2 linked regions of the Schizosaccharomyces pombe genome follow. The gene in region 2 interacts genetically with the main gene of each other region. Each region holds a gene or a part of one and is shown on either strand. Other genes may lie near its edges.

Region 1 (6,207 bases), 1.4 Mb from region 2:
CTCCCTCAAAACTCAGCATCGACTCTTCTCTCTAATATATATAAGTTAGCTGCCCAGATAAATACACGTAGGATTAATTTCATAATTAGAAGTCGCATACGTATAGTGAAGAAAGTTGAGAACGATCGGAATCGAAAGTTTGGTAGTAAAATTGAGTGAACTGGGTCGCCAAAGCATTATAGTCTGCAGAGTATTAGCAATAAATCATACAAATTTTTATCTTACCAGCCATAATGAAAGATGGTGGTAAAAGGTAGACCTATTATTTCAAGTTCGAAAAATCGCGTCAAAAAAGATCGTACAGACACCTTAAGTAATTTAACGTAAAATGATACAACTCTTAATATGTAAAATAACATGATAAACTTATAGTTGTGTTATTTGGCAAAAGTCCTCTATTCGAATAGTATTGGCAATGGTAGAAAAACGAATTTGCAATAAGATTTGAAGGGGTTTTACTTCATGCAAACAACAGGATAGATGTTTATCCGTTCCTATTGAGACAAAATTTATGAGAAAAAATATGGTGCTAGCGTCTAACTAGTATCATGAACGAAATGGAACATAATATTTACTTGATTGTGAAGATTGCTTATTAAATGCTACATTCTTTTTTATAACGATGTATTTCACATTTTGCATAATTAATGCACCTTCAATCATAATTAAAAGAAAGCAACAAGTATTTGAGTTGGGATAAAAATGTAAAACTTAATCTATTAAATGTTCACATAATAAAATATGAAGATGACTACAAAATAGAACGTAACAAATAATAAAGGATAGAAGGAAACAAAAGCAAAACACCCACAGTTTGCTTTAATTCCTGGGTAAACTAGAAAACACGGAGCGAAGCCTTTGAGAGACAAAATAACTATAACGAAAGGGGAACATAATACATAATAAGTTATCTTCTATTGTGGATAATAGGAGACAAATTTTTTGATTGGAGCAAGCTTATCAAGCTTCGAACGTCTCGCCGAACACAGTATCTGCGACGGGATCGTTAGCATCCACCGTACGTGGATTCCCATGTGAATTTATTGAATTAACCGATGAATGGGTTGTTGTGCGACACGCATGTAAATTATCTGTCTCTTCGTTTTCTTGTAGTCCCAGGTTCTGAAACTGTTCATCAATGGACTTATTGACACTATAAAGTTTAAGGTTAGTTGATGGTCAAATATTTAAAAATAAACTTACAAAGTGAAACCACGAAATCTGTCCTGAATCGTGTTGGATAGAGGTGTCGAGGCATTAGCGGGATCAACATTGGAAACTATATTGATATTTTTCACATTAGTATTGGTAAACTCTTTATCAAAATTGGAAACATCCAGATCATTTTGAACATTCGGTTTAAAAGGCGGCTGAACCTTCTTCTTGCTAAGTAGGTCCCAATTTATGTCTGCAAAAAAAGGATGCTCTTTTAATTCAGTAGTGTCAGCAACTGCTCCTAAACGATGATTTGGATTGCGATTTAAAAGGCCTCGAACAAAGCTTCGACCCTCTGATGAAAGAACTCCTTTTGGAAAACGGACCTTTCCAAAGGCAATATTACGATACATTTGTTGGACGTCTGGAGCATAAAAGGGGCTCCATCCGCAGCACATCTCAAAGACAAGGACTCCTAAAGACCAGAAATCGACCTGTTTAGTATACCCCTTGTCCTCAAGTAAAACTTCAGGTGCCAAATATTCGGTGGTTCCACAAAAGGTATTAGTAGTTGCGTTAGCTGAAAGGTTTGCCTTAGACAAACCAAAATCGCAAAGAGCAATATGACCATCTGCATCTAATAGTATGTTTTCAGGCTTTAAATCTCGGTAAATAATATCATGTTTATGCAAATGTTCAAGAGCCAAAACAAGTTCGGCTATATAAAATTTAGCTCTTTGCTCAGGAAAGCGACCTTCATGTTGAAGATGCCAGAAAAGTTCGCCTCCACTCATATAATCAGTTATCAAATAAAGATCTGAAGCGGTCTGAAAGGAAAACTTTAAACCAACAATAAACGGAGATTCGTCTAATGAAGTCCTGACAAGTATATTCCTTTCGCCCAAGGTATGTGTAACCTCTTTTTTACGAACAATTAATTTTTTGGATATCTTTTTCATAGCATAAATCCGATTGGTATCGTTTTTACGGACCAAATAAACTTGCCCAAAAGTGCCTAAATAAAGTTAGTATACCGTAAATTTTTTAGCTTAAAGCAGCTTTACCTTTTCCGATTAAACGAAGGGCCGTAAAATCTTCTGGCCCATAACGAACATGTTCAATGTGCTCGTAAATTGTTTCCACTTTTATTTCACCCTCCAGAGACTTAGTTAAGTCAAGAGGCTCAAGCTTATACCATGCTTCCTGCACATATTCATGTAGGAAAATTGGTGTAATTTTAACGGAGCCCAAAAATTTATCGTCTTCATATTTGTCATATACAGATACAACCATTTGACTTTTCATTTTTGTCACATCAAATACAGTTTCAAAATCCCAATGAGGACAACGCACATCAGCCAACATTAGCTCAGAATGTAGTCCAGAAGAAGAACCGGAAGCAGATCCAGCAAGAGGACGGTTTTTAGAAGGAATGGAAATGGGTATCCCACCGTCAATGTCTTTAAAAGGAGGAGGTACCATAACCTGCGTTTTTTCAAAGGTGATTACTGCATAAGGTTGTGCATTAACACTTTTGACGTTCAAATCTCTACCTTGATGTAATCGAACATAAAGCCGTCCAAAAGCATGCTGACCATTTTTATCTTTTGGCACAACGGTATCATGCCTAATGTAACACGAAGATGGAGGTGTACGACTCTGTAGTAGTTTGGGTTTTTCTGAATATGTACCCATTGGTGTAATTCCATTGCTTTCGGAACTATTAGAACCAGATTCTTTATCTTCCTTTAAGGACTATGATAGGTTAGCCAAGTGAACAACAATTTATGGAGACAGTGATTTTTGAAAAACACAATAAAGAAAGCTATGGGGAAGATTGTCTTTCAAGCAAAAAATCAATTATAACATACCTGTTCTTTGTGAAGCTGAGCTGTAATCTCATTGTAACGCATCTTCATCCGATCCGACATGAAAACGGGATCATAGCCATTAGACGAAGCACCCTCTTTCCCTTCGTAATCGTTTACTTTCGTAGAATGGTCATTGGAAAGAACCGGTTGCGTTGAATGCGATTGTATTGTGGATGGCGATGCTTGATTTGTATTCTCAGAATTTGATGATCGATGCAATTTACCGAAAATTTCGGTCATTTTCAGCAAAAGCAATGATCAATCAAGAATCTTTTAATACTCTTTTAATGGAATCGGATTCCTCGTCTGGTGTTACTAATAATAGGGTGTGGTGTTTAAAGTTGGTTCGACCAGCAGGTGTTTCGCATATGTAACCTTCGCAATTCCCTTAATCGAAAAGTGTGGTAACATCCGGGAGTACGATATCTTAGCGAACGGATAGAAAATCCAGTATTTTTCGAACACTAATTCGTATTTTACTATGATTATATAGATGTATAATTTTAAATGGTTATAATATCAGAGGGGCGCCGCACTTCCATTTATCTATTTCTTAAGGGATTCAGGTAAGGGGGATGTATAACCCTAAACATTTGAAAAATTCCTTTGCAGTGTATTTTATTATTATGCACTTATTCTAAAAGCAGAAAAAGAAATTTATCGAGCAATTAATACGCTGTTGACTCAGAAATGTCTTGTGATTTTCAAAGGTTTGTCCAACGAAGGAGTATCGAAACAGAGTTCTCCGAATGGCTTAGTAGAAACTTCATGTATATTTATTTTAGCCTACATATACAAAAGAAATTAAAGCACATTACAACGTAATTTCGGAGAGCTCAAGCTATGAGATTTTCGACTGTTTAGTTTCGAGGAATACCTAGATAGTACCGAAAAATGCTACACTCTTTTTTTATAAACATTTATCAAATAATTTTTAATGCGTTGGCTGATGCCTTAACCAAAGGTCATACTAAATTTACCAGAAAAGTTTCTTTTTCTTTAATAAATCAATTGTAGTGTTTGAATGAATGAGCTTTAGTAGGATGTCCACTGGTCAATTAAAATTGTAACTTACTGACATACATTAGCAAATTTGGGCACAATTTCTAATTGTTATTTGCTTCTCATGGTTTCTGATATGCGTTTGATGCAAAATACTCGGGATTTTTGTATTTCGGCTGATTTAATTTTAATTTTAATTTTTTTTTATTTAAGTCTCTCTATACTCATTACTGTGGTCAATTATATTCCTTGAGTTTATTAAATCTTTTATTTACAGAGTACAATTAATTAAAATGGAGCCAAAAAAATAACCCTTGTTAAAAATTTTTTTAAACTGTTAATTCCCTCCCCAAAAAAAAGATTTAAAAGGAAAATGATTAAAAAAAACGAGAAATAAAATTTCATGTAAAAAGATAACTTTGTATAGTAATTTATATAATAAGAGCTAGTTTGTCATAGTTCACTGCTATTGTTTATTATTATTTTTTTTCATAGCACAGTATTTCAAATTAAATATCGTAAAAGACCATCAGAAATTACAAACAAAATAAGAAAATCATCGGTTAAATTAATGACATTCAAAGTACCACTTTTCGTTCCTCTGACAAACGTTGCTACGCAACCTTGATTAGCCGTACTAGCAAACCCATCTTAGTACTTTGTGGGGGCTTTCATTTTAATAACCACTGCTAAGCTGCTAGTGTTAGGCATAAAACCGATAATAAGGACCATGTGGGGGTCTTCCGCATAGGTTAAACAAACAGCTGCTGAGGCGAGGTTCAGGTTATCGTGGTGCTTTTCTACGTTAATTTATCAATACAAAATAGTTTAATTTCCAAAACAAAAGTCAAGAGATATCAGCTACAATTACATTAATGATATGCATCATCCAAAGTCAGTGTACAAACAATAGATTTACGCCCGACAAATAAACCGGTATATTTTAGAAGTTCATCATTTTGTATACAATCAGTTACTTCCAAAAAATTATTGATTAAATAAGTGTTTATAAAAGATTTTTCATAATTTCGTAGTACGGTCATTATTCTCAATTTCACGTGTTTTTTTCTTTTTTTACTTCTAGGCCCATAACATTATTATTAACTATACTAGTATAAAAAATTTCTCGCTCAAATTATGTTCACAGCATGTAAATGAGATATGTTAAAATAGAAAATTCAGCTTTCAAAAAAATAATGTCTATTGCCATCTTTATTGTCATGTTGGCGGAAATGAACTTTGCATATTGGTGTTCTTGAGAGTGTACAATTTTTTTTAACTACCAACCACAAAGAATGGGAGGCATTGGTAAAAAACGGGTATGTTGAGAATGGATAGTTTAAAAGAAATACTTTATTTAAACTAATTTAATTATAGGTAAAAAAGAGGACGCATTTGAAAGCTGATCCTATACAAGAAGCAGCAATTCCTAAATCGGTATGTGCAATTTTGTAAAATTGTAAAATTTTTTAGTCCCTTTGCTAATTCTTATTTAAGATGGTAATTCGATCGGGCGCTTCTGAAGTAGGTAGAAGCTTATCTTTGCTTACTCGAGATCTTCGACATATGATGGAACCACATACAGCTATTCGATTAAAGGAGCGTAAAGCTAATAAAATAAAAGATTACTTGACTATGGCTGGACCTCTTGGAGTTACACATCTTCTTGTCCTCTCTCGCACTGACAACAATGCGAACTTGAGAATCATTAGGGCTCCTAGAGGTCCCTCATTACATTTTAGGATTCATGAGTATATGCTGAACAAAGATGTTCGAAGACTTCAAAAAAATCCTAAATCTCCAACAACAGAGTTCCTTACTCCTCCACTTTTGGTCATGAATCATTTTAATCAAAATTCGTCAAAAGACTCTCCCCATGAAGCTTTGCTAACGACTACATTTCAAAATATGTTTCCTCCAATTTCAGTCCAACATACCAACATTAATAGTGTTAAACGGGTTCTGTTATTAAACCGCCGCGACGATGGTTATATCGACCTTCGTCATTTCATAATTAGCACGAAGCCTGTGGGTATTTCTCGCCCTATAAGACATCTGTTGAAAGGTGAAAAAAAGGACTCTGATATCCCTGATTTACACAATGTTCGTGATATTTCGGATTATGTTTTACATGGTGATGGTATTTCTGGTGCAGCAAGTGACTCAGAAATCGAAGAGG
Region 2 (8,478 bases):
TAAAAGACAATGAATAACAGGTTTAATCTTTCTAGCTCTCTAATCTGGTAGAAATTTGGGTCAAGGTTTTTATGTTTAATCATCCTGGATTTATTAGAGTCAGACAAAAGCCATAATTTCTAGTCTGGCAGCACAAGTCCACGCGTACTTAAATTCCAAGATGCTTTCTTCAACTGTTATCTTTATGCGGACTAACCATTTCAAGATTATAAATGGAAGATATGCTTGATAAGCTTTTTTTTGTTTAACATGTTTTTGAGATGCTTTGATCGCTTATCAGTGGTTTCATAACAACAAGGAAATAGATCTAAGTTAGCCGGTCTTGCATTTACAATGAATCCGGGAAGCATATTTTTTTCCTCCTCAGTGTAAAACAAATAATAACGCATATCTTCAACTTCGTAAATATTTGATTGATCCTCGCAAAAATAGCCCAATTCACTATCGCTAATGGCATGGGATTCGTCTTCAACATTAAAAGAGGCATCTAAAACATTATTCTGGTTTGTGTTTTGGTTAAGTTCTTATTCTTTGAAATCCTATTGAAATATTGCTTTATGAATCAACACTTACAGCCATGCCTTCAATATATCCATTGGTTTGCAATGAGTTTCTCGGTTGAGAAATTTTTATATTGTTGACGTTCTCTTTATCCTCCTCAGGAGAAGTTTGAAAAACAGTTGGCGAGGTTTCGAAGCTAAACATGTAGACAATGTGGTATGGCAGAGGGTTTGTTTGTTTGTTATGATCTAAATATTCTAAAGCACGGAAGCGCAGTGTGTCTCGTTCCACTGCGGTATTGCAATAGTCCAGTGTTAAGCTACATAGCTCGGTATTCAAATCGTGAATCGTCTTGTCTTGGTTTTTGATCTGTTGGTTAGCTAAATCAATAAGGGCAATTTCTTTCAACCTAAACTCTGCTCTTCCATTCTCCAGGTTCTTTTTTAAAGATTGATTTGTGTTTTCGAGTATTTGGATGTGCTTAGCCCGAACGTGAAGCGTGTTGTTAGCCGACTTTAATTGCTTTTGGGCAACGAGATTCTTCTCCTTGAGTGAATCTAGTTCTCCTCTAATTAAATCGTTTTTCCTGTTCAGAGCCTCTAACTCAAGACACTGATTATTTATAAATGCGTTGGATTCATCAATATTTGAGAAGTATTGAGGATATTGGTTTTTACAATTGTTTTCCTTTCCTACTAATTCAAGGCAATTATTACCTGCTCCTGTGTAGTGTGAATTTTCTTGATCGTTACCAGTAATCCGAGGCTGTGGTAATTGCTTACACTGAGTTAATTCACCCGCAGTGGCTTGAAAGGAAAGACTGTTGTTTCGGATGTATTCCTTGAGGTTTTCGTTTTCGTCCTTAATGATTTTGTTTAGTTTTTCAACTTTTACAAAATCTTCTTTAGCAGAAGTAGCCAAATGTCGTAATTCTTCTAATTCTCTGAGTAGGTGAGTTCTTTCACTCTGTAAAAAGAGGTTTTCCTTTCTTAACCTTTTACATTCTATTTGCACTTGGCTCATCTTTCCAATTAACGTAGTGATTTGTTTTATGTTAACATTGTGTATATCTTCGTCAGAAACGCAAACGTCTTTTGCTTCTTCAGTATTTCCAAAATCACCAATCTTCATTTCTTCTACGGTACGATTTTCGGATTTATTTAAATGTATCATACCAACCTTCAATAACTCTTCGTCATTTTGTATTCGGCTATAGTCATCCTCAAAGGCATACAACTCTTGTTCAAGCTGTTGAACAAAGTTTCTCATATCCATAACTTCATTGATTAAGCCTTTGTTTTCACTTTCAACCTTATAACAATCACTCTTAATAGTTTCAATTGTTCCACTAATATCATCTATTGCTTGCATAGCAGCAGTCCTTTCCTCTTTCAGCCTTAATATTTCGTGATCTTTGAAACTATCAGACTCCTTGAGATCATGAATTTCGCACGCTGATTTTTCGATCTTGGAGAGAAAACTTTTCCTTTCTTTATATAATCTTTTGTTCTCTTCTTTTATCTTCTCATAGTCGTCTTTAAAATTCTCGTTCTGAAGTTGCAGCATTTGTTTTTGAGTGAACAACTCAGAAAAATGACGCTTTGTTCGGTCAATCCTTGAAATTAATACATTGTTTTCTGAAGCCAACCGTGTTATTCGTAATTCATCTTCCATATTCTTTCTAAACGATTTATCCAGTTTTTTTTCAATGATTTCTAACTTTTGAATCAACGGGGCTACATATTCTTCTTGCGCTACAATTTGCATTCGCAAGCATTTTTCTTCATTTTTGAGAGTCCCGTTTTCCTTCAAGAGCTTTTCTATTTTTTCTTCTGCTACCTTTAAGACATATGACTTGCAGATAGAATTGCAATCCATACTAAACATTTCCTGGTTTTTCGTAATTATAAAATTTAAGAAATCCTGGAAGATATCTTCTAGGGAAACATTCCGTTGTTTAGTATCTTTGCAGTTCAAAACTTCTTCTATTTTCTGAGGTGTAAGAAGATCCCCGATCTCGTTGAGTCTCTTTCTTTCATATTCTTCGGACTTCTTAGATGTCAGCTCCTGAAATGATATTTCCATCAGAACGTTAGCCGGTATAGACATATTTCTTTTCTTTATATTATTTAAGAAATTCCTTTATTATTTCTGATATCTCATATACTAAGAGTTTAGAAGATTCGGTTATATGTTAACGTTCTGGGAGTTTATGCTTAATCGAGATTTTGTGTATTATGCGATTATGCTCTAAAAAAAATTCCAAATTATTCAACACAAGTAAATTAAAGCAAAATTTTCCTTGAGGGTAATATGTTAGAACTGTTTGGTAAGTGACAAATCCATTCGCTTATGCTCCTGTGATTTATAAACAAACACCTCAATATGTGCAGGTGTCAACAAACATTCGATTGTGTATGATCATACGCCAACAGGTATTTTAACCGTTAATAAACGTATTCGTTCACGCATAATTCGATTAATCGAAATATCAGTAAAATATTAAAAAAAAAACAATGAGAACCCCTCAGAAAGTTTAAGGTGTATTTTTTCCTACTGCCAAACACTTTACCGAGGATATTTATTTCGAGTAGAAAACAGAACAAAAATTAGCATGAAAAATAGTATTAAGTATTTCAGGTATCTTTGATTTGCTGTCTCAAGACAATTTTGTAAAAAAAATCCCCAAAACACTCTCGTTGGCAGGAGTCATTATGTCTAGTTTCGTTTCATTTGTTAAGATAAACTGCTATCTTTTAGAACTTTGGTTTTCAATATTAGGCGATTATCACTTTACAAAAGACAATTTTACAACCGAATTAGTTTACTGACTGAAATAATTTAGACTGTAAAAACGAGACTACGTTAACCAAATTTAATGAGTTTGACCGATGGTTCAATAGAGGTTTAGAAGAAATTTTGTACCAAAAACCAGATACACAATGGTTAATGGAACTAAGGGTGTATGTGTTTCAGGTATGGAATTGAGCAAGTTTATTAAGTACTAATTCTTTAGGAAAACCATGGTATGCTTTTTATCAGTATGAGAAAGCTTTTATTAAACAATTAGGAAAACTGAGAAAAAGGCGTACAACAGAAGTGGCCTTGCTGATGCTCAAAGAACTCCGTATGAAAAGCGTATGGAACAAAAGCGGAAGTTAGATGAGATTAAAGAGCGTGAAAAGGAATTGAAAAGAGAGAAAGAAGAACAGCGTGCTGTAAGTATTCTTTATCAGTAGTATCATATCCATTACTAATTATTCATAAGGCTCATGCCGAAAAAATCCGTACCCGTCGTCAAGCAAAAGCAGACCGTGAACGAATGGAATTGTTGCAAGCTAAACTTCACCAAAAGGTGATAGATCGTCGGCGACGCAGAGAGAAGCGTAACAAAATGTTGAAAGAGCGATGAATGGAATTCGGTTACATAATTGGAAAAATAATATTCTTTTGAAGTGGTATAACATTGATCACTTTTACAGTTTCAATCTTCAACTCGTAATAACATCATTGTATTAGAAAAATAATGATAGTAGTTAACGGAATAGTGGATACGCTTTGGTATTCGTTGCCCCGAGGATATACCGGGAGCTCAGCTCACAACATTTCTTCCAACATTGCTAGATAATATCGTTTTAGTAGGTTGTATATATATTCTGCAATTTTTTTGTGCATCGGAGTTATTTTTTTTTCACAAAATAAATCTAGTCGCACTCAAAAAATGGAAAAAGAAGATATTGAGAAGTTATTTCAAGAAGTAAAAAAGAGTTTACAATATTCATATTGTCCCTACTCCAACTTCGCAGTAGGTGCATGCGTAGTATCCGACGATAAAAATACATATATTTATGGAGCTAATGGTAAAAAGATTGTACCGAATTCAAAAAATATGAAATCTAACGTATCAAACAGTTGAAAACGCATCATATGGCAATTGCATCTGTGCCGAACGAGTAGCAATTACAAAAGCAGTGGTAAGATTAAGTTGCGCGTGAAGAGTTGCTACCGCTTTGACCATTATAACTCACATCAACCTTAAAAGAGCATGGGTTACACTAAATTTATGGCTATTGGAGTGATGAGTGCCAAGGGAAGAGTTACGCCCTGTGGTATTTGTCGTCAAGTGTAAGTTGACAGTTAAGGAAAAAGAAATCCTTCCGTTGAATTTACTAACAAAACGTTGTTAAGAATTCGTGAATTTTCGAAGGATATAAATGTTTATATGTTTCATGACGACGGGGGTTATGATATGAAAACGATAGAAGAGGTATGCAAGCGTTACTTGAATGTCATTAACATGATTGGCAGTTACTTCCTGACTCTTTTGGTCCAGATGATTTGAAATGAACGATTCAAGGACCCTTAATGAACTAAAGTAATTCAATATAAGCGTATTTCGTTCGAAGAAGATACTAATTTTACTCATAATTTTTGGACTTTATCAGTAAACATGTAATGGTAGTATCATCCACTTTCCTAATGTGCTTGTTAATATATTTTCACATATAAATTATTTTATCGTACCCTCCTTGAAACTTGAAACCAAAACTCTTTGCCGTTTTTGCGAATGGAGATTCCCATTTCGTATCCAACGAATTCAAAACTGCTTGCCTACAAATGCGCATAGCCAAATCATCAAGGCATTTCTGAACATTCGAAAGAGAGCTAAAATCAACGACGCCAGCGATGTCTAAGATCGACTTTTCCTCTATATTATCAAATATGCCATCGGTAGCTAAAATTACCAAGTCATTGTCTTTAAGGTCGTGCACAGTTGCTTGTCCCATTTTAGGCCCAATGTTTTCAGCGGAACGATAGTTCCTAGGATATATAGCCAATTGATATGGCATATTAAATTGGAGTACTTGGGCAGGTGATGCATAATGGATAGCACCATTTCTAAGGATAAGAAATCCTGAGTCACCAAGGCTTGAAATAAAGTTAGTAAGAATTTATGAACCAATGAACAAATAACGTACTTTAATGAATGAAGTTTACCGTTTCCGCAATTGAACAATGTAAGGCAAGCAGTGCTTGAGCCAGCCTCAACAGTGTTACTTTTCTTCAAAGCTGCATATGCTTTGGAAAGTAAAGTGAGAGGACTTGGTTGGAATTCGTCAGAATTGTTAAAGACTTTTTTTATTTCCCGAACCAATCCCCAACTAAATATTGACGGATCAATCCCCACATTCGCCCAGCCTCCAACTCCGTCAAATACTGCATTTAAGATATAGTTTTCATTCCTTAAATTTATAAAAGCGTCTTCTCCGGCATCCGGGTGATCGAGCGTAGCAGGAGATGGGAAATGAGATTTCTTTTTTTGAAAGCTCGTAGAGGAATATGCAGCATATTTGTGCACATATCGGGCGAACTGTTTTGTTCCAGCGACACGAAAGTAAAGACGAGTAACATTCATTGAGGGATCATAGAAATTGTTTTAATCACCCTGTCTAAGAAGTTATAACAATTGCTTTCTGTTCAACACTTTATAAAGTGTGTATGAACACGACTTACAAAAACAGATATCAGACTCAAAGTAAGAGAATTGTATGATATGTTAGTTTTGTATACCCATCTAATTATATAAATAAACGGTGGGGATATGATTGATGAGTTTGTAGTAAGTGCCTGTACTATTATTGAACTTCCAAGAGTCCTTATATATTTACCAAACTATCATGTAATGCGGTATAATAGTGAGCGAGGAGCATCTTGATAAATCATAACTTAGGAGCAGTTTAATTAATATTTCACGATATAAATGTTTGAGATTAACAAAAAAAAATACTGACTGTTGCTTCAATGCACTTGCACAATTGTTTACTAACACTCTGGAAGAACTAAGCGTCTTGTCCTCGAGATTTAGCTAGCTAATTTTTATCGGAAAAGTTTGGAGGCACAAAGCAATAGTAAAAATATATTTTATACGTAGTTCTTGGGTTTTCACCGAGTAGTACTAAAACTGCTTTTCTTAACGAGCTGAATGATGATGGTATTGAAGCAGTTTGTGTCATTAAACCGAGATGTGGGTTAAGCCAATAATGTAAGTTAAAGTTAAAGACACGGAAATAGAAGAGTATTGATTAGATTTCGCTTATGGAGTTGACGAATAAGAAGGGCGGTATTTCAAACTTCCGCACTTAACGATGCTGTACTTCCTTAAGAGATGCCCAATTACCAAAGCTTCTCCTTCCACCACATCCAACACATATAATGCTCAGATTTCGAAAAGTCGCTCCAAGTCTAAAAAATGGAGGGAATCTGAAGCTATTTTCTACTTCTTCAACTTTAAAAAAAATAGCTTCAAGCCAGGTATGTTTTTTTTTAGTGACTCGTCTTATTTTTGGAAGCGGTGCAAATTTTATGATTTTTAAGCAACCCTTCTTTGTTTCTCTACTCTATGAACAGTTTTCTAAACAATCTAACAATGTAGCCTTTAAGAGCAAAGCAAGTTTCAACATCAGAATCCGTTAAATATCCAGTCATTGACCATACATACGATGCTATCGTTGTAGGTGCCGGAGGTGCCGGTCTTCGTGCTACTTTTGGTTTGGCAGAAGCCGGCTTTAATACTGCATGTATTACTAAGCTCTTTCCTACGAGGTCCCATACTGTCGCTGCCCAAGGTGGTATCAACGCTGCACTCGGTAATATGACAAAAGATGACTGGCGCTGGCATTTCTATGACACTGTCAAAGGATCAGATTGGTTGGGTGATCAAGATGCTATTCATTACATGACTAAAGAAGCACCCAAAGCAGTTTTGGAGTTGGAACATTTTGGTGTACCTTTTTCAAGAACGAAGGAGGGAAAGATTTATCAACGTGCTTTTGGCGGTCAATCCCTTGAATATGGTAAAGGTGGACAGGCATATCGCTGTGCTGCTGTTGCCGATCGTACTGGACATTCTATCTTGCACACTCTTTACGGGCAATCTCTTAAACATAACACAAACTTTTTTATTGAGTATTTTGCAATGGATTTAATCATGGAAGGTGGTGAATGTCGTGGTGTCATTGCTATGAATTTGGAAGACGGTAGTATTCACAGATTCCGTGCTCACAAGACTATTTTGGCTACTGGTGGTTATGGACGTGCCTATTTCTCTTGCACCTCAGCTCATACCTGTACTGGTGATGGTAATGCCATGGTTTCTCGTGCTGGACTTCCTCTACAAGATCTCGAGTTTGTTCAATTTCACCCTACTGGTATCTATGGTGCTGGTTGTTTAATTACTGAAGGTTGCCGTGGTGAAGGTGGTTATCTTTTGAACAGCAAGGGTGAGCGTTTTATGGAACGCTATGCTCCTACCGCTAAGGATTTGGCTTCTCGTGATGTCGTTTCTCGTGCTATGACTGTTGAAATTCGTGAAGGCCGTGGTGTTGGCCCTGAAAAGGATCATTGTTATTTGCAGCTTTCTCACCTCCCCGCTGAAATTTTGAAAGAGCGTCTTCCTGGCATTTCCGAAACTGCTGCTATCTTTGCTGGTGTAGATGTTACTAAAGAGCCTATCCCCGTTTTACCTACAGTTCACTACAATATGGGTGGTATTCCTACCCGTTTCACCGGTGAAGTCCTCACTATTGACGAAAATGGGAAGGATAAGATTGTTCCTGGATTGTATGCTGCTGGTGAAGCTGCTTGTGTATCTGTCCATGGAGGTAACCGTCTTGGTGCCAACTCTCTTCTGGACATTGTTGTTTTTGGACGTGCCTGTGCTTTACATATTAAGGATACGCTTGAACCCAATACCCCTCATAAACCGCTTGCAGCTGATGCCGGATTGGATTCTCTAAAATTTTTGGACCAAATTCGCACTTCGCAAGGCCCTAAACATACCAGTGAAATTCGTTTGGATATGCAAAAGACGATGCAACGTGATGTCTCAGTTTTCCGTATGGAAGAAACTCTTCAAGAAGGTGTTAAGAACATTGCTCGTGTTGACGGCACTTACAAGGATATTGGAATCAGGGACCG

What was found.
Region 1: mutations in azr1 (region 2) and sck1 together harm fitness more than expected from each alone (negative genetic interaction), as found in Schizosaccharomyces pombe (one large-scale study listed by BioGRID).

The regions. Positions count from the first base shown.
Region 1 is NC_003424.3:2,401,341-2,407,547, forward strand, and holds sck1 (serine/threonine protein kinase S6K family Sck1), read right to left. Parts: upstream 3,364-6,207; 5' UTR 3,267-3,363; coding exon 3,027-3,266; exon of another isoform or gene 2,911-3,026; coding exon 2,220-2,910; intron 2,171-2,219; coding exon 1,204-2,170; exon of another isoform or gene 1,154-1,203; coding exon 961-1,153; 3' UTR 676-960; downstream 1-675. Other genes in the region: nuclear import protein Nxt2, read right to left, coding at 1-31, 101-183, 226-232; SPOM_SPAC1B9.03C (ribosome biogenesis protein), read left to right, coding at 5,324-5,347, 5,406-5,465, 5,526-6,207. UniProt on the Schizosaccharomyces pombe protein: Protein kinase that is part of growth control pathway which is at least partially redundant with the cAMP pathway. Required for trehalase activation.
Region 2 is NC_003424.3:3,796,683-3,805,160, reverse strand, and holds azr1 (mitochondrial protein phosphatase Azr1), read right to left. Parts: upstream 6,132-8,478; 5' UTR 5,918-6,131; coding exon 5,481-5,917; exon of another isoform or gene 5,431-5,480; coding exon 5,026-5,430; exon of another isoform or gene 4,978-5,025; coding exon 4,920-4,977; 3' UTR 4,849-4,919; coding exon of another isoform or gene 4,810-4,848; 3' UTR 4,769-4,809; coding exon of another isoform or gene 4,690-4,768; 3' UTR 4,627-4,689; coding exon of another isoform or gene 4,544-4,626; 3' UTR 4,476-4,543; coding exon of another isoform or gene 4,414-4,475; 3' UTR 4,362-4,413; coding exon of another isoform or gene 4,223-4,361; 3' UTR 3,914-4,222; coding exon of another isoform or gene 3,770-3,913; 3' UTR 3,720-3,769; coding exon of another isoform or gene 3,572-3,719; 3' UTR 3,528-3,571; coding exon of another isoform or gene 3,518-3,527; 3' UTR 3,478-3,517; downstream 1-3,477. Other genes in the region: meu1 (protein meu1-1), read right to left, coding at 207-500, 574-2,610; CGR1 family ribosome biogenesis protein, read left to right, coding at 3,444-3,477, 3,518-3,527, 3,572-3,719, 3,770-3,913; cdd1 (cytidine deaminase Ccd1), read left to right, coding at 4,223-4,361, 4,414-4,475, 4,544-4,626, 4,690-4,768, 4,810-4,848; succinate dehydrogenase Sdh1, read left to right, coding at 6,715-6,813, 6,935-8,478. UniProt on the Schizosaccharomyces pombe protein: Confers azacytidine resistance in high copy.